Linked DNA regions of Saccharomyces cerevisiae S288C. The gene in region 3 interacts genetically with the main gene of each other region. Each region holds a gene or a part of one and is shown on either strand. Other genes may lie near its edges.

Region 1 (5,913 bases), on a different chromosome or scaffold from region 3:
ACCCAGGTTCGTTCTCACATTGCCAGTAAGTTGAGGAGCTTTGTTTGGAGTCGGTCAGTAATTCTATCGGCTGTACCCCACTGCCCTGTCTCCAGGTTGGTGAAGTTAAATGGTTCAATAGTTTAGTACCTTGAACATAAGTAGCAAAATCTAAATCGTCCTCCCATTGGTGTTGATTGGAATTGTAAATTTGGTGAATTAATCTTTTCATTAATATGCTCGAATACTGCTGTGGCACGTTAGAATAATCCTGTTGAACCTGCTGCTGCTGCTGCTGCTGCTGTGTCTCTAACCTATTTGTGATCTCTTCCCAAATCTCCTGTTTGTTAGATTGCAACCTTCTGTTCATTTCTTGGATGAAATAATCCTTATCGATATATTGCAACTCATTCGAAAGAATTTCCTTTACATAGCGATTCAAATCATACTCCCAACGACTTTCAGCGCTTCCAGCAGTACCAATGCCTGGAGACTCAATAACGTCTGAAATCAAAGCACTCAAATAATTGTGCAATTCAGGGATTATTAAAAGCGACGAAGAATTATTAATTACAACGGGTATTTCTTGAGGGAGGTGTGTATCCAACTGTTTTACCAGTTGATCTTGCCATTGAGTAACATTCTCGACCGTAAATTTGTGATTTCGCCTCTGTAACTCACTCATGGAAGTTGAAATTGTCTCAACCTGTTTTGTCAGCGAGTTAATGTCATTTTCAAAATTAACCAAATTTGAGGGTAAAAGTCTTTTAATATTCTTTTCAAATTGAGAGACAATGATTTTTACTGTTTTATCCAATTCTGAACTGTGCTTTTCGTCCCGCTTACTCAACTCACTATATAAATGATTCACCTGTTTTTGTAGGTTGCTGAATGATTTGCCTGGAGAGGATGTAGCGCCGGATGAATGGCTTTCTAAATCATTATTTTTCACGGTTGTCATCAAAAAAGATCCAAAAAAATAAAAAACGAAGAAAAGGCCTCCATAGAAAATGTACGTCCGCCACTTCAACTTCTTAGCTTCACCTGAACTTTCCAAGTTCTCTTCAAAGTCAGAATTACTTTCCAAATCGTAGCTGTCGGAATCGCTGTCTTCTATAAAACTCTTGTCTGCCTCATCTGTATAGTCCTCGTCGCTATATCCGTCGGTCTCTTGTCCATTATCCTCAATGTACGGATCATCATCGTCGTCATCATTATGTTGGTCTAACGGAAAATCAAGATTTTTTTTGAACATTTCGTACGCGGAATCATTCTCTTTATCCATATCATAGTTGTCAGTTTCACCGCCATCGGTGTATATCCCTTTTTTGATGGCTCGTAGGCTAATCTCCTGTTCCCTATTCATTTTGTCCTTGAGGACATCTGCATACGCGGACTTTACAGCCTTATTGTAAGGCATTTGTTCATTAGCCGCTCCTGCCTCTTCCCGCCTATGCTCATTTGAGTTATTCATTTCCAGCACTTCCAGGATAAAAGTTACTACCAACTGAAAACAAGAGAAACCGCCGTGAAACTATGGAGCACTACAGTTAAAACACCACTAACTCCACTCTGTTGACTTTTATCTGTAACTCCTCATGACAACCTTGTTGATAATTATCTCAAGATGACGATATTTACATTGTCATTATATTCCATTTTCGCGTCTCATATGTTACCCGTATCAAAGAGTATAACCCTATCAATAAGTGATGTGTATCATTTATAAACCTCATATTTTAAGAATAAACCTATATAATATAGGAATATACCCTGAAAATAGTTAGAGGTCTACAATGCCCCTATTTTACCTCCAGAATTATAATCTCCTTAAGACTTCAACTAGAAGTGGTATTTACTAGCACACTGTGAAACAGTAGCGTCAAGTCGGTAGTAAACATCAATCGCGTCCCAACTGCAAGAGCTACTAGAAGTAAACACAGTCTTACCCAAACTAAGGATGAGTGAACCCGAAGTGCCCTTCAAGGTGGTGGCTCAGTTCCCATACAAGTCCGATTACGAGGACGATTTAAATTTTGAAAAAGATCAAGAGATTATTGTTACGTCTGTTGAAGACGCCGAATGGTACTTTGGTGAATACCAGGATTCAAATGGCGACGTTATTGAGGGTATCTTCCCGAAAAGTTTTGTTGCTGTTCAGGGATCTGAAGTTGGAAAGGAAGCCGAATCATCTCCGAATACCGGTTCCACTGAGCAACGTACAATCCAGCCGGAAGTAGAACAAAAGGACCTACCAGAGCCCATTTCCCCTGAAACGAAGAAAGAAACTCTGTCCGGGCCAGTGCCAGTTCCAGCCGCTACAGTGCCAGTTCCAGCCGCTACAGTGCCAGTTCCAGCCGCTACAGCAGTATCAGCACAGGTCCAGCATGATAGTAGTAGTGGTAATGGCGAAAGAAAAGTTCCCATGGATTCTCCAAAATTGAAGGCTCGCTTATCTATGTTTAATCAAGATATAACGGAGCAAGTTCCTTTACCAAAATCAACTCACTTGGATTTAGAAAACATACCTGTGAAAAAAACAATTGTGGCAGATGCTCCTAAATACTATGTCCCCCCTGGAATTCCAACAAATGATACGTCCAATCTTGAAAGGAAAAAGTCCCTAAAGGAAAACGAAAAAAAGATTGTTCCCGAACCAATTAATCGTGCACAGGTGGAAAGTGGAAGAATAGAAACTGAGAATGACCAATTAAAGAAGGATTTGCCCCAGATGAGCCTTAAAGAAAGAATTGCTCTTTTACAGGAGCAACAAAGATTACAGGCTGCAAGAGAAGAAGAACTCTTGAGAAAAAAGGCTAAGCTCGAACAAGAACATGAACGTAGTGCGGTTAACAAGAATGAGCCCTATACGGAAACTGAAGAAGCAGAAGAAAATGAAAAAACTGAACCGAAACCTGAATTTACGCCTGAAACTGAGCACAACGAGGAACCGCAAATGGAATTATTGGCACATAAAGAGATTACTAAAACCTCACGCGAAGCAGATGAAGGCACGAATGACATAGAGAAAGAACAATTTTTAGATGAGTACACAAAGGAAAATCAGAAAGTTGAGGAGTCACAAGCAGACGAGGCAAGAGGAGAAAATGTTGCTGAGGAAAGCGAAATAGGTTACGGCCATGAAGACAGAGAGGGAGATAATGATGAGGAAAAAGAAGAGGAAGATAGTGAAGAGAATCGTAGGGCCGCATTGAGAGAAAGAATGGCTAAACTATCTGGCGCTAGTAGATTCGGTGCTCCTGTTGGTTTTAACCCCTTCGGTATGGCTTCTGGAGTTGGAAATAAACCATCAGAAGAGCCGAAAAAGAAACAGCATAAGGAGAAGGAGGAGGAGGAACCTGAACAGCTCCAAGAACTACCTCGTGCCATACCTGTTATGCCATTTGTTGACCCAAGTTCTAACCCATTTTTTAGGAAATCAAATCTAAGTGAGAAGAATCAACCCACTGAAACAAAGACGCTAGATCCTCATGCAACCACAGAGCATGAACAGAAGCAAGAACATGGTACACACGCCTATCACAATTTAGCTGCTGTTGATAATGCACATCCCGAATACTCTGACCATGATTCTGATGAAGATACTGACGACCACGAGTTTGAGGATGCAAACGATGGGTTGAGAAAGCATTCGATGGTGGAGCAAGCTTTTCAGATAGGTAATAATGAGTCAGAGAATGTTAATTCCGGAGAAAAAATTTACCCTCAAGAACCACCAATCTCCCACCGTACTGCAGAAGTATCACATGATATTGAAAATTCATCACAAAACACAACTGGAAATGTTTTGCCTGTCTCTTCCCCACAAACAAGAGTTGCTCGCAACGGGTCGATAAATTCTTTGACTAAATCCATTTCAGGGGAAAATCGGCGGAAATCCATAAACGAGTATCATGATACAGTTTCCACTAATTCATCTGCATTAACAGAAACCGCTCAAGATATTTCGATGGCAGCTCCAGCAGCTCCAGTTCTAAGTAAGGTGTCACATCCTGAGGACAAGGTGCCACCTCACCCAGTGCCTTCTGCACCCTCTGCACCTCCAGTACCCTCTGCACCTTCAGTACCCTCTGCACCTCCAGTACCTCCAGCACCTCCAGCACTCTCTGCACCTTCAGTACCCCCAGTACCCCCAGTACCTCCAGTATCTTCAGCACCTCCAGCACTCTCAGCACCTTCAATACCTCCAGTACCTCCAACACCTCCAGCACCTCCAGCACCTCCAGCGCCTCTTGCGCTGCCTAAACACAATGAAGTAGAAGAACATGTCAAGTCATCTGCTCCCCTTCCACCTGTATCCGAGGAATATCATCCTATGCCAAATACTGCTCCGCCACTTCCACGTGCACCACCAGTACCACCGGCTACTTTTGAATTTGACTCTGAACCAACAGCCACTCATTCACATACAGCTCCTTCTCCTCCACCACATCAAAATGTCACGGCCTCTACACCTTCAATGATGAGTACGCAACAACGTGTGCCAACCTCAGTACTATCTGGGGCAGAAAAAGAATCACGAACCCTACCGCCCCATGTGCCTTCATTGACGAATCGTCCTGTGGATTCATTCCATGAGTCAGATACTACACCGAAGGTGGCCTCTATAAGAAGGTCAACGACGCATGATGTAGGCGAGATTTCCAACAACGTCAAGATAGAGTTTAATGCACAAGAAAGATGGTGGATTAATAAAAGCGCACCTCCTGCTATAAGCAATCTGAAGTTGAACTTTTTGATGGAGATCGATGATCATTTCATTTCCAAAAGATTACATCAAAAATGGGTGGTAAGGGATTTTTACTTCTTGTTTGAAAACTATTCGCAACTAAGATTCTCCTTGACCTTTAATAGTACAAGCCCAGAGAAAACGGTAACGACTCTTCAAGAACGCTTTCCATCGCCAGTCGAAACACAATCAGCACGTATTCTTGATGAATACGCTCAAAGGTTTAATGCGAAAGTTGTAGAGAAATCTCATTCATTGATAAATTCACATATTGGGGCTAAGAATTTCGTGTCACAAATTGTATCCGAATTCAAAGACGAAGTTATACAACCCATAGGAGCAAGAACGTTTGGCGCAACTATATTGAGTTATAAACCTGAAGAAGGAATCGAACAGTTGATGAAGAGCTTACAGAAGATTAAACCAGGTGACATTCTTGTAATTAGAAAGGCCAAATTTGAAGCTCATAAAAAGATCGGAAAAAACGAAATTATCAACGTTGGAATGGACTCCGCCGCTCCGTATTCGAGTGTTGTTACTGATTATGATTTTACAAAGAATAAGTTTAGAGTTATCGAAAATCACGAGGGAAAGATTATTCAAAACAGCTACAAGCTAAGCCATATGAAAAGTGGGAAGTTAAAGGTTTTCAGAATTGTTGCGAGAGGATACGTAGGTTGGTAATTTACCCAATGCTTCCAAGGGGAAATTGTGAATGCTTTCGATTTCATCATTTTCCTTTCGCATTTTCTTATCGTTATAGTTTAAGTGTATATTTTCATAACTCTTCTACAGAAGAAACTATACAAAGATTAAACAACCGTTTTTGTATCAGGTCTTATTTGAGCGGCTCAAAACGAAAGGTAGGATTCACTTATCTTACCGCCGTCAATAGTATCCCAAGTTGTACCTTTTCGTATATACCTACAATTCTGGCTTCAGACGCAGTAATTTTTGAGCAATCGTAACAAACGGTTTGCCCCTAGAGTTTGAATTTTTCTTCATCACTCCATGATAGTGCTCTCATATATTATCTTACGGAAATTAATCCAATATAGGTGCCCAAAGGTTGAAATTAATACGAACTTTGACCTGGCCTTAATTATCGATTCTAATACTATCTGAGTTTAAAGAACTTGCGGGGAAGAAATACGGAAAACATAGAAAGGCGATGGCAGATGAAG
Region 2 (3,790 bases), 320 kb from region 3:
AAAGCATGTCTGTACAGGAACCCAGACAAAAGATGGACTGTGGATAAAGTCCTGAGTAGCACTTTCCTTCAACCTTTTATGATATCCGGATCGATTATGGAAGACCTTATTAGGAATGCCGTTAGATATGGCTCTGAGAAGCCTCATATATCACAAGATGATCTCAATGATGTGGTAGACACTGTTTTAAGGAAATTTGCAGATTACAAAATTTAGAAGAGCCGCATAAGGAAGAAAAGCATGTGCCAGTTATGAACATAAATACATTTAGAGTTTGCCATGCATGTACTGATTTATTTACTTTGATCAACTCTTTTTTACATATTTATATATATTCATTTAAATAAATCATCAATCAATTTTTCGACACAGACACTGAATACTTGAAATACCAAGAAAAGGATAACTATCCTCTAACGGCGCTCAGTGAAATATTATATTTTGATTGCTTGTTCAACAATTGTGCCTTATTAACTTATTACATTTATATATAAGTTTATATTATTCCATTTCCATTTTTCATTCGTAGATTTAAACTTTTTTATTAATTCTTTTGGATCAATAAAGTTCAAATCTATCTTGGACCAAATTTAGTCATTGCAGATGGCCCGCTTTCTTGCCATTCTTGCTTAGACAACCACATGTGGTCTTTATCAGCCATGATACTAGCTAAAACGGCACCACCAATGAAAACCATATGCTTTCTCCTTGGAGGATCTTCAATTCTAACTTTGAATTTATCAAGTCTTGAAGGGTCATTGTGTAAAACTCTACTAAACCATAATTGTTTCAATTCTTTCTCTAATCTCGAAGGCAGCCCTGGGTACATACTTGAACCACCTGAAAGAACAATGGCCTTATACAGGGAACTTCTGATATCAACATCAGCCGATTGCACAGTATTAAATAACAGCTCGCCCACGCCAGGTTGTTCAACGTCAACCAAACCAGGTTGGAACAAACATTCTGGTGCTTCAAATCTCTCTTGTCCCACTTTGATTGTCCTGCCATCTGGTAACTCATACGATTCCACAAGGGCGGTTGTTTCTCTAGCCAATTTTGTATCTAGGTCTAAATCATATGAAACATAACATAATTTTTCCTTTATCTGACGCACAGTTTCGAAATCTGCAGTTCTGTTAAATGCATAACCACGACGAGAAAGCAGATCAATCAAATGCCTAGTAACGTCTCTACCCGCAACATCTAATCTTCTTGTTAAGTGGCTCAAAACGACAGATTCGTAAACTGGGACTATATGAGTAACACCGTCACCGGAATCGACGACGACTCCTGAAGACAAACCTTGTGCGTACAATGCTAGAACAGCTTGGATGGCAACATAAACTCCGCCAAAATCGTATTTTTCGAACATTACCTCACACATTTTTTCCCTATTTTTCAGCGGATTCATTGGAGGTTCCGTTAGTAAAATCTTACCGTTGGAGGTGGATGGTAGTTTCATTTGCTCGAAAAAGGCGTAATCCCAAAGAAGTTCCATATCTGTCCAATTCTTAATAATACCGTTTTCCATAGGATAAGATATTTGCAGATAAGAGCGAACTTCACTTGCCTCATCACCAATCATAATGTCCTTTAATGGTGTAGCAACGCTGGCACGTTCTTCCGCCCTCAAGATGGGTCTACCAACAATAGAAGGAAACGTGTAATCTGGGAAATTCTCGCCAGCACGACCAATTTTGACGAAACCAGTACCCTGATCAAGGACTATATCGAGATGGTTAGTATTAATAATATAGGGGTAAAAGAACTAAAATGCAAAAGAGGCAAAGCCAAAAGGGGCACCGAGCTCAATTGCCTCCACAAACACTAAAAATATCAACAACATACCAATTGGATTATGTGGGTCCATTATTATTATATAGTTTTGTTAGTTTATTACTGTGATTTGTCTTCTGGTACGTATATTTAACTTTCACGTCCGTTTTCTTCCATTATATGGGTCCTCAAATTGTTTTTCGCCTTTCAATTCTACAAGACGGGTAATAAGGTCATTACTAAGAATAGTATAAATACATACAACTGCTATCTATCAAACAAATATACATATCACAGAGAGATTTCACACCAAACCTTGCTTCTTAAGTTCATCGTAGACCTTCTTACTCATTACATTTCCTTCTTCGTCTTCTTCTTCTAGTTCTAATTCTGTAGGAACTTTTAGTTGTGAAGGATTAGGCTTTGGGGGAACTGCTGCAATAGATGTCAACTGTGACTGCCCCTGCATATTTTTCCAGAGCTCTTGTGCCTCCTTAATTTTGGTTATGCCCTTGAATACTGAAGAAGGTTCGATACCAAGGCATCGCAAGTGATAAATATGTCTTTCTTCGTTGAAATGTCTTTCAAAAGTGCGTCGCCCATTATAAACTTTATTCGAACAAATTTCGCAGCGATACTCTCTGTCAAGCCCATGCAGTTTGTATAGCCAGTATGGCATAGGCAATCCATCCGGACCCAATGGCATGTCAAACGATTTACCAGAGAGGTGCTCTTCTTGCAGTTGACCATCTCTCTGCTCACCATCCACTTGTTCGGCCCCCTCTTTTTCCGTCGAATCATATGCAGGTGCTTCATACTTCTGTGTTAAGATATCCATTTCTGCCATTCTTTCATTTGCAGTAAATGCCAGTTTTCTTTCAACAAAACTTCTCGTTCGAGAAAATTCATCATTTAAATATTTCAAATACCGATGCAGTTTATATTCAGAGTACACAAAATTTCTTCTTTTAGATTCATTTTTCTTATGAATTTTCCCTACTAAATGGCTTTCGAAAACGGAAGATGTCTTGAACCACCTCGAACAAAAAGGGCAATAGATACCTTTTGCCTCGGACCGAAGAGATCCCCTACAGTATGAATGTTCGAAGTCAGATTTGATTAGATTTTCAACTGCCGCAGCGTCAAGCAAAGCATAACTTTTGAAGAAAAAAGTTTCTACATATTTGCTCAACTTTAGCAAAAAGGCCATGTATCTATCATTCTTGCGATCCATCGGTGGGGTTAGCAAATATTTCTCGTCGTCCAAAAATAATTCTAGGATGTCGAGAAATTGAAGCAGTGAACAATCGCCCCGTTTAATTACATTCAACCATAAAGAATGAAATTGTTCCAGCTCCATATATTCACCATATTGCTCATCTCTAGTAAATATTTCATTTAAGTCTAGGTCTCGAGCTCTGTCAGACAATATATTTGTGCGCCTCGATGGATCAGAAGAAGATGAGAATAAAGCGTATTTGTCTTTTTTAGAGTTGATATCCAATTCAAAGTTCTCATCTTCATTTTTCAGTTCCTTCTCTAGCTGTTGTAGTTTTCTTTCGAAATTAGGCAAATCCTTGTCATCCTCCTGTGTCTCTTCTGGACGATTGATTTTATTAAAAGTTTGTTGTTTCTCTTGGTAGTCTCGAAGAAAAATATTTATCTCATGTTGCTGCAAAATTATCTGTTTTCTCTTCCTCTTAACCTTTTTAAACTTGTATATTTTATTCTCTGCAATCAACGATGATCTAGGCAGTTTAGTATCAGGAAACACCTTGCTCGATTCTTGTATATAGTGGTAATATAACTCTGGATTCCGCTGAATTCTTTCTGCTATGGCATTTTCAATAATCTCCATCTCCTCCAACAAGGACCTCCTTGTTTCAAGTAAATTCATTGAGATGATGCCCTCCTACTCCTATTAAAGCAAAATTAAATGAATGTATACACCCTCGCTTGGCTCACCGAAGGTTCTTGATCTACCGTATAACTAAGTACTTTTTATTGCACT
Region 3 (4,541 bases):
AAGTCCTTACAATGGTGTACTTACGCACTGGATCGAGAACAACGAGTTTGGAGAAGAAAAATTCCTAGCCCGAAATTGTAATTACTGTGATTTAAGAGTGACAAGAAGTAGCTTCATATGTGGAAATTGTCAACATGTTTTACACTCTTCGTGCGCGAGGATATGGTGGGAGATTGGTGATGAGTGCCCATCTGGATGTGGGTGCAATTGTCCGGAAATGTTCGATGCCTAAAAGCTTAACTATCACGTACATTTTCTGCATATTTCAAAGAACCTTGGATGTATATGAAAAAAAGTTCACAGGATATATGGCTTAATAAGTAGTTTATTTACGATTTTTTAATCCAGTAGAGGCATGATAGAAGACGACAACGGAATCATTGAGCGTTGGAGGCATTTTTACAATGGCTCAGTAATCACGAATAAAAGTAGGTGGAAGTTGAAATCTATTATTACATATTAAAAACTTCAGAAATACTTGAGGCTATATATTGTTGTACACTTAACCAATCGTATAACGGAGCATTGGAACAAGAAAGCTGAGTAGAAAACAGGTTACGAAAGTTGTTTGTTGGCTCATTTGTTCAAAGTCATTAACGAAGCGATAAAAGTAATAATTAATCTTGCACGAACTTCGTTGATATCTTCTGGCACCAACCAAATCAAAGCACCCAACTTTCTAGCAATAGAAATAGCCAATCTTGCGTTTGCGTACCTTTCTTCCTCGGTGTTACCAGGGGTGACTAGATCATAATCAACATAGCCCGGCGCGATACCATTCAGAACATCCAATAAGAAGTGGGCGTTTGATAAAGCTTGGTCCTTAAATGATCTAATGGTAGAGTTTTTACCACCTTTAGTTACCTGGTCTTGGGCCCACTTTAATATTTGAGAATCACTCATGTCTCTACCACTTGAGGATAATGTCTTCATGGTTATCGAAATATTTCTACGCATCAATTGCCACACTAACCCTAAGGTCAGTAATTTGTTACCATCTACAATATCAGATCCTTCGATACCAACCAAAGAAAATCCTTTGGCTCTGCCCAAGTCGACTGCATAGTTGGTGTTTTCTAAGGCTTTGAATCTGGATATCTCTGCACCCGAGGCCGGTCTTTTGTTGACATGTTTAAAATCAACAGCACCGGGCATCACCTTTTCGTAAGCTTGCAATAATATCAAACCATCCTTCAAATCATCAAACAGCGAAATGACAGGTGGATCAACGTCAAGAGAGTTCAACCATAAGGTAAAGACTCTTGCCTCTCTCTCACCTTCGGCGTCAAATTCTTCAATTTCAGGCTTTTCCTCTTCCTGAATAGGCTCTAATCCAGGATGTGTATTGAATAGATGTGCCACGAAAGCCAGGTTTAATTTAGGGTTCCCCGCAACTAATGAACTTGGGGTTAAATACTTTCTACAATCTAGCTTTTCAGCATTTTGTAAAACTTGCTCAGCTCTCTCCATTAAATCTGTGGTTTGTAATGGTGCCTTAGAACACAAGGCGGGGTCCAACTGGTTCAACAAGATAGTATAGTTTTCACCATCAGACACGTCTTTTGAAAAATTGGTAACCCTTCTGTTCCAGTTTGCTTGCTTCAAATGGTAGTTAAACCAACGTAGTAGAATTTGCTCCGGAGGCAACCTCAAAAATTGCTCCAACGTTTCATCATCCTCCAATAGACGGTATAACTCAGGATGCAGCTTAATATCAATTTTACTTAACAAACCTCTCCTAATAATTTGCCAAATCAAACCCAGGATCAAATGCTCTCTACCTTCAATAATGTCCTCGGAATGAACATTAACAACGACACAACCAATGGCTTTTGCAGAATTAATAACAATATTAGCATTTTCACTAGCCTGAAAATTATTCAATTCCTTACCCTTCTTAGGCCAATTCAAAACTCTTGTATCGATAGTATCAGGAACAGAGTCGTTGATCAACTTAGATAGCACCAACCCATCCCTACATTCATCAAATAATTGGAAAGTATCAGTAGGAAATGGAAGCAAATCACCTATATCTTGGTCTCCCGCCAAGACGCTATTGATATGTTTAGTAAATTCACGTCTTTCTTCTTCATTGATGGTATGTGTAGTACCTGTTTGGGAGCCAGCAACAATAATCTTGGCTTGAGTACCCTTACCCTTGTGCTGTAGTCCTGTGGCAGCAGTGGAAACAATAGGGGTTGAGTTAGGTGCTACGTTGAAAGTGGTCTGTGGAGCAGCTCCTGTTTTAGATTCTCTTAATTTTGCAACCAACCCGACGTAATCGTCCAGTTCAACACGGCCTGACGCATCCACACCCACATGCTTCAGGGTTTCTCTTGCTTCGTCATAAGTAGCATCACCATCTTTGGACACCGCTTCTAGAGCTTGCTGTTTTTCAACCCATCCTTTATCATCTAAGTCAATGGCTCTGAACTTTTCAATTGTGGAAAAAAGATCCTCTTGAGTCAAAATTGGAAATTTTCTCTAATCGCAGAAGAGTTTGTTAGTATATGAAACGTTTATTACAACCTAAAAGGTAGAAAAAACTTTTTCACTGTGCTCAGCAGTGTGGGAATTCGAGAAAGGCATACATACTTGTAATTTGACAATATTCATTGTGTTTTGGTGTACTCCTTAGGGCTAATATATCAGCTTCTTCTCTGATAATTTTAGTGTAAAGAGCTTTCTTGTTCTCCTGAAATAACCAAAATTTATATCGATAAATCTTCATTATAAACTTCGCCCCGTACTTTTGATATTTTTCCGCCTCCCGAGGAGTGCTTTTTCACATGAAGGCCATCGGGAACAAGAAGAAAAGCCGTTCACGTAAGAAAATAGGACCCTATATCCGGTCAGGATCACTCAAGCTGTATGTAAATGTAATATAGACAAAGCACCTTTAACTGCTAAGAATTAATTATAGTGTCGGAAATATAACATAACTTGCTTACTTCCTGTGTAAAAAATGTGAGAAGGGATATGATTACTTATGTTTCGGTATTTCCGTGAGTTGAAGTTCGATATTGGATAATCTTGATTCAATCTCTCGCTGTCTTCTCAACATTTGTAGTAGCAAGTCCTTTATTTCTTTAAGTTCCACGGTTTCTTCAGTCACTATATTATCAGGTAGTTTAAATTTTACACTTTTCTGGAAACTAGCTTTGTGTATCTTACCTTCGTTCGCCAGCATGGAATTCAGTTTAGTGTTCGATTTAGTAAGGGATTCTATGCCATTTCCCACGTCTTCCTCTTCTTTCTTGAGTTCAACTAATAAATTCTTCCCTTTCAATTTAGCTCGAGGAAGGTCATTCTCAAATGGGGCGTCCTTGAGCTCAGTATTAGAACAGAGGTCAGTGTTGCTTTTGGCATCCGATGGGAGAATATGTTGCTGCTGTTGCTGCTGTATCCTTTCAGGTGACATGAGTCCATTCTTAAACCGGGCCCGTATTCTCGTTAACGAACCATCACCCCCGATTTTATTTTCATTACTGAATGTCAGTTTGGTTGGTGATGTAGGGAATATTATATTAGTTATATGATCTGAGTTTTGGATCTTCACATTTTTATTCGAATTTTTGAACTGAGGCCTATCCAGGCTTTGAGTTTCCTTAGAGACATAGCCCTTCAGACATTCCGGCGACATAATCCTTCTTGGTGTTACTTGTATACTATGCTTCATTCCATCTGTCTTGTTAGGTGATATCCTCATAGGTGGTTTCAAAAACTCTTTTTGGCTTGTCGTCCTCAAAGGGGACATACTCAATCTCACAAAGACATTGTCCTTGTCACTTGGTATATTATTTCGACCAATCGTATTCCCTATGTCACGTAAACTCCTGCGGTTGCTTTTATTGCTCATAATTTGTTTTATTGAACTATGTCACATCACTGCAATCCAGTGAGAACACTGAGAAAGCTCTAACTAGACTATACAATCCATTTGTTTTGATTTCCTCTTGTTGACAATTTGCAGTATTTAGAGTATATATCATTATGTACGTGTTATAACCGCCATGTCTCACAGTATCAACTAAATAGAGCTTCTGCGTCCACCAATTCATAAACAGAGTTGCTTTTATAGCCATTATTATAGAAGAGGGGAACCGCGCATCGTTGTAACTCGTCCACTTGTATTATTTTTGTAGGTATACCGTTGATGGTTAGATATTCTAAGTTCGGCAAACTTTGCTCAAAAACTTTAAATACGTCTTTTAGATAATGAAGGTATAAGTGGTACAAACTAATGGCATCTTCTCTAGTAATTTTATTCACTGTAATATTCTCAGTATTTTCTATGGTGCTTTGCAGATTTTCATTGAACTTTCGTACAAACGTTTCAATAGGTACAGAATCCCATCCCATCGCAGGTGATTCGTTGTCAATAATGTTTGTATAGGGCATGATCTTGTTCTCGAAAAACATTTGGTAAAAGAAATTATGGGCTTGGAACTTATTTGGGTTCTTTAAAAGTTTTGACCGGGTTTCAGGAAAGATTTTTTTTAGAATGACCTCGTGAATTGTATTTTTGCAAGTTGAACAAG
Region 4 (3,875 bases), on a different chromosome or scaffold from region 3:
ACGCACAAGTCAAGGAGCTGAAGACTCAGACTTCCCAACAGGCAGAAAATTCAGAAGTCATAAAGGACCTTTACGAGTACCTCTGTAACGTACGTGTACATAAAAGCTACGAGGATGATTCTGGGTTGTGGTTCGACATCTCGCAGGGCACCCACTCAGGGGGATCTTCCGATGATTATTCGATAATGGACTATAAACTCGGATTTGTCAAGGGCCAGGCCCAAGTCACAGAAGTCATATATGCGCCCGTTCTTAAACAGCGATCCACCGAGGAACTATACTCGCTACAGTCGAAACTACCGGAATACCTCTTCGAAACGTTGAGTTTCCCCCTCTCGTCGCTAAACCAATTCTATAACAAAATCGCTAAAAGCCTGAATAAGAAAAGAGAGAAAAAAGATGAAACCGAGTAAGCTGCTACATAATGTCTATATATCTACACATAAAATTCCGATTATTCCTTTGCATACCTGATTTGCCCCTCAGAATCCACAACCAGACTTTTCAAGAAGGTCTTTTTTGCCCCTTTATCCTTCATGGTTTTCAAAATTTTGTACAACGACTTGCCCTTGTGAAGCTCGATACCGTTCGAGGTCTTTTCCACTTTCTCTGCCTTCTTGATCACAGGCTTCTCCACTTTCTTTGCAGGAGTTGCCACTGGCTGGTGCTGGTGCTGCTTCTGCTGCTGCTTCTGCTGCTGCTTCTGCTTCTGCTTCTTGTTGCCCTTGTACAACGCTTTCTGGTACTTCTCGTCCTCGCTGATGCAAGACGTGTGATTCTTGTAACTCACGCCATCTTCAAACGTCTTGGAGCAATCTATGCATGTATAGTACGCGTTAGGACATCTATAATAATGCTTTTCGGTATTCTTCTTGGGCACAGTATCATTACACACCTCACAGTTGAACGTAACCATCCTGTAATAACAAATATTTCTTGACTGAGACCGTTTGCTGTTGTATACAGAATACTCTTAGAGCTCATCGCAAGTTAAAAATTTTCAATTTTTTTTCACTTTTTCCCGTCAAGGCAAAAAGCAACCAAAAGAGAATGAACCTTTATTTTTGATTTATTTATTATGAGATGCTGCTAGTCCACTCATCTGCATCAATGTAGTAGTCACAAAGCTAATATTTAGACGTTACTTTGATATCTCTGTCCATGAGAGCACTTATTTTAGGAAGTTAAATGAGACAGTCAATAGTTCACAATATCCCGTCAGCAATGGAGGGAAAAGGCATTCCTTTTCCATAGGATTTTAATCGTTTTCAAGCATCATACGCCCTCGAGGAACTCTTGTTTTCGCTTTACTATGCAACCATTGATGTATTTCTGTATAAATGTGCGTCACGTGGCCTTGTGTCTCTTATTTCCACTTGTTTTTTCACAATGCGGAAAACCTCGATTAAAGTAGAAAAAAAGGATATAATAGGAGTATACCATATTGGATAGTTCAATCTATAAACAAACAATCGCATAACCGCACGTATATACACGCACACACCTATCAATCACAATGGCTTTGGAACCTATTGATTATACTACTCACTCGAGAGAGATCGACGCAGAGTACCTGAAGATTGTCAGAGGCTCCGATCCTGACACCACCTGGTTGATTATTTCACCCAATGCGAAAAAAGAATACGAACCTGAGTCTACCGGTTCCTCCTTTCACGATTTCTTGCAATTGTTTGATGAAACCAAGGTCCAGTACGGACTGGCACGTGTGTCCCCACCAGGGTCAGACGTTGAGAAGATTATTATCATTGGTTGGTGTCCTGATTCTGCGCCATTGAAGACAAGGGCCTCTTTCGCCGCCAATTTTGCTGCAGTTGCTAATAATCTGTTCAAGGGTTACCACGTTCAAGTTACCGCCAGAGACGAGGACGATCTTGACGAAAATGAACTGTTGATGAAAATCAGTAACGCGGCCGGTGCCCGTTATTCTATTCAGACTTCCTCCAAGCAACAGGGGAAGGCTTCCACTCCTCCCGTGAAGAAATCCTTCACACCTTCCAAGAGCCCTGCTCCAGTTTCTAAGAAGGAACCAGTCAAGACTCCTTCCCCAGCACCTGCTGCTAAGATTTCTTCCCGTGTTAACGACAACAATGACGACGACGATTGGAATGAGCCTGAATTAAAGGAACGCGACTTCGATCAGGCTCCCCTGAAACCAAATCAATCATCTTACAAACCAATTGGCAAAATCGACTTGCAAAAAGTGATTGCTGAAGAAAAGGCTAAGGAGGACCCACGTCTTGTTCAAAAGCCAACCGCTGCTGGTTCCAAGATTGATCCTAGTTCTGATATCGCTAATTTAAAGAACGAATCAAAATTAAAGAGGGACTCCGAGTTTAACTCCTTTTTGGGCACCACTAAACCCCCCTCCATGACGGAATCTTCATTAAAGAATGATGATGATAAAGTCATTAAGGGTTTTAGAAACGAGAAATCACCTGCTCAATTATGGGCCGAAAGAAAGGCAAAGCAAAACAGCGGCAACGCCGAAACTAAGGCTGAGGCACCAAAACCTGAAGTTCCAGAAGATGAGCCTGAAGGTGAACCTGACGTCAAAGATTTGAAATCAAAATTTGAAGGATTGGCCGCTTCAGAAAAAGAGGAGGAAGAAATGGAAAACAAATTTGCTCCTCCTCCAAAGAAATCAGAACCAACTATTATCTCACCAAAACCCTTCTCCAAGCCACAAGAACCTGTGAAAGCTGAAGAAGCCGAGCAGCCTAAGACTGATTACAAGAAGATCGGCAACCCATTACCCGGTATGCACATTGAAGCGGATAATGAGGAAGAACCAGAAGAGAATGATGATGACTGGGATGATGATGAAGACGAGGCTGCTCAACCTCCTTTGCCTTCGAGGAATGTTGCGTCAGGAGCACCAGTGCAAAAAGAAGAGCCTGAACAAGAAGAGATCGCCCCAAGCTTACCTTCTAGAAACTCGATCCCAGCTCCAAAACAAGAAGAAGCACCTGAACAAGCACCTGAAGAAGAAATTGAAGAAGAAGCTGAGGAAGCCGCTCCACAGCTGCCATCAAGAAGCTCTGCAGCTCCTCCTCCGCCTCCAAGACGAGCAACTCCAGAGAAAAAGCCAAAGGAAAATCCTTGGGCCACAGCAGAATATGATTACGATGCTGCAGAAGATAACGAACTGACCTTTGTGGAAAATGACAAGATTATCAATATTGAATTTGTCGACGATGACTGGTGGCTAGGGGAACTAGAGAAAGACGGCTCAAAAGGTCTCTTCCCCAGCAATTATGTGTCTTTGGGCAACTAGAATCACACGTCAGCGTCATGCTATTATATTATTCTTACGTAAAAAAATACTTACAGAGACGTTAAAGCTTTTGTATAGATACTTTCACGAGCCTTCCCTTTCAGTAAAATGAACAAATTATTTTGCCTTGTCCTTCTTTGTTTCAAGCGTTTATATGACTCCTCTACAGTATTATTTTTCAACAGACGGTGTGCCCGTACGGCGTTGTCAAAACCTCGAACATAAAACAACACTGAAACAAACTTATTGCACTCCTGCATCGCATACAGATCTGATACTTACTACAACCATAATGCTGTTTTAGAATCGCATCAGGTGTTTACCAGAAGTGTATGGTACATGGTGCTTTCCTTATGCTCACTATTTCGGATTTACTTCTAGTCTATGTATAGATTTGTTAGAGACCAGTTTTAAGCTACAATGGAACGTTAAGATTAAGAAATGCATGAAGAGTCTCCCAGTAGATATATAAAGCTGAATTAAATTCAGTACAATGGAAGTTTCCACGTCTTTCTGTATTTTCATACCTTTAATTATAGGAAAAGCACACTACAAAAATACGCTATCATCTACCGAATAT

What was found.
Region 1: mutations in SAC6 (region 3) and BBC1 are lethal when combined (synthetic lethality), as found in Saccharomyces cerevisiae (4 studies listed by BioGRID, with this or other methods).
Region 2: mutations in SAC6 (region 3) and ARP2 are lethal when combined (synthetic lethality), as found in Saccharomyces cerevisiae (3 studies listed by BioGRID, with this or other methods).
Region 4: mutations in SAC6 (region 3) and ABP1 are lethal when combined (synthetic lethality), as found in Saccharomyces cerevisiae (5 studies listed by BioGRID, with this or other methods).

The regions. Positions count from the first base shown.
Region 1 is NC_001142.9:398,437-404,349, reverse strand, and holds BBC1 (Bbc1p), read left to right. Parts: upstream 1-1,939; coding exon 1,940-5,413; downstream 5,414-5,913. Other genes in the region: MPS3 (Mps3p), read right to left, coding at 1-1,453. UniProt on the Saccharomyces cerevisiae protein: Involved in the regulation of actin cytoskeleton.
Region 2 is NC_001136.10:397,423-401,212, reverse strand, and holds ARP2 (actin-related protein 2), read right to left. Parts: upstream 1,874-3,790; coding exon 1,852-1,873; intron 1,729-1,851; coding exon 575-1,728; downstream 1-574. Other genes in the region: serine/threonine/tyrosine protein kinase MPS1, read left to right, coding at 1-216; SF3a splicing factor complex subunit PRP9, read right to left, coding at 2,084-3,676. UniProt on the Saccharomyces cerevisiae protein: Functions as ATP-binding component of the Arp2/3 complex which is involved in regulation of actin polymerization and together with an activating nucleation-promoting factor (NPF) mediates the formation of branched actin networks.
Region 3 is NC_001136.10:712,764-717,304, forward strand, and holds SAC6 (fimbrin), read right to left. Parts: upstream 2,617-4,541; coding exon 2,596-2,616; intron 2,485-2,595; coding exon 577-2,484; downstream 1-576. Other genes in the region: MTC5 (Mtc5p), read left to right, coding at 1-232; FIN1 (Fin1p), read right to left, coding at 2,984-3,859; YDR131C (uncharacterized protein), read right to left, coding at 4,027-4,541. UniProt on the Saccharomyces cerevisiae protein: Binds to actin, and functionally associates with actin structures involved in the development and maintenance of cell polarity.
Region 4 is NC_001135.5:263,552-267,426, forward strand, and holds ABP1 (Abp1p), read left to right. Parts: upstream 1-1,516; coding exon 1,517-3,295; downstream 3,296-3,875. Other genes in the region: CSM1 (Csm1p), read left to right, coding at 1-413; YCR087C-A (uncharacterized protein), read right to left, coding at 455-916. UniProt on the Saccharomyces cerevisiae protein: Regulates ARP2/3 complex-mediated actin assembly. Recruits ARP2/3 complex to sides of preexisting actin filaments, which may promote nucleation or stabilization of filament branches. Binds to actin filaments, but not actin monomers.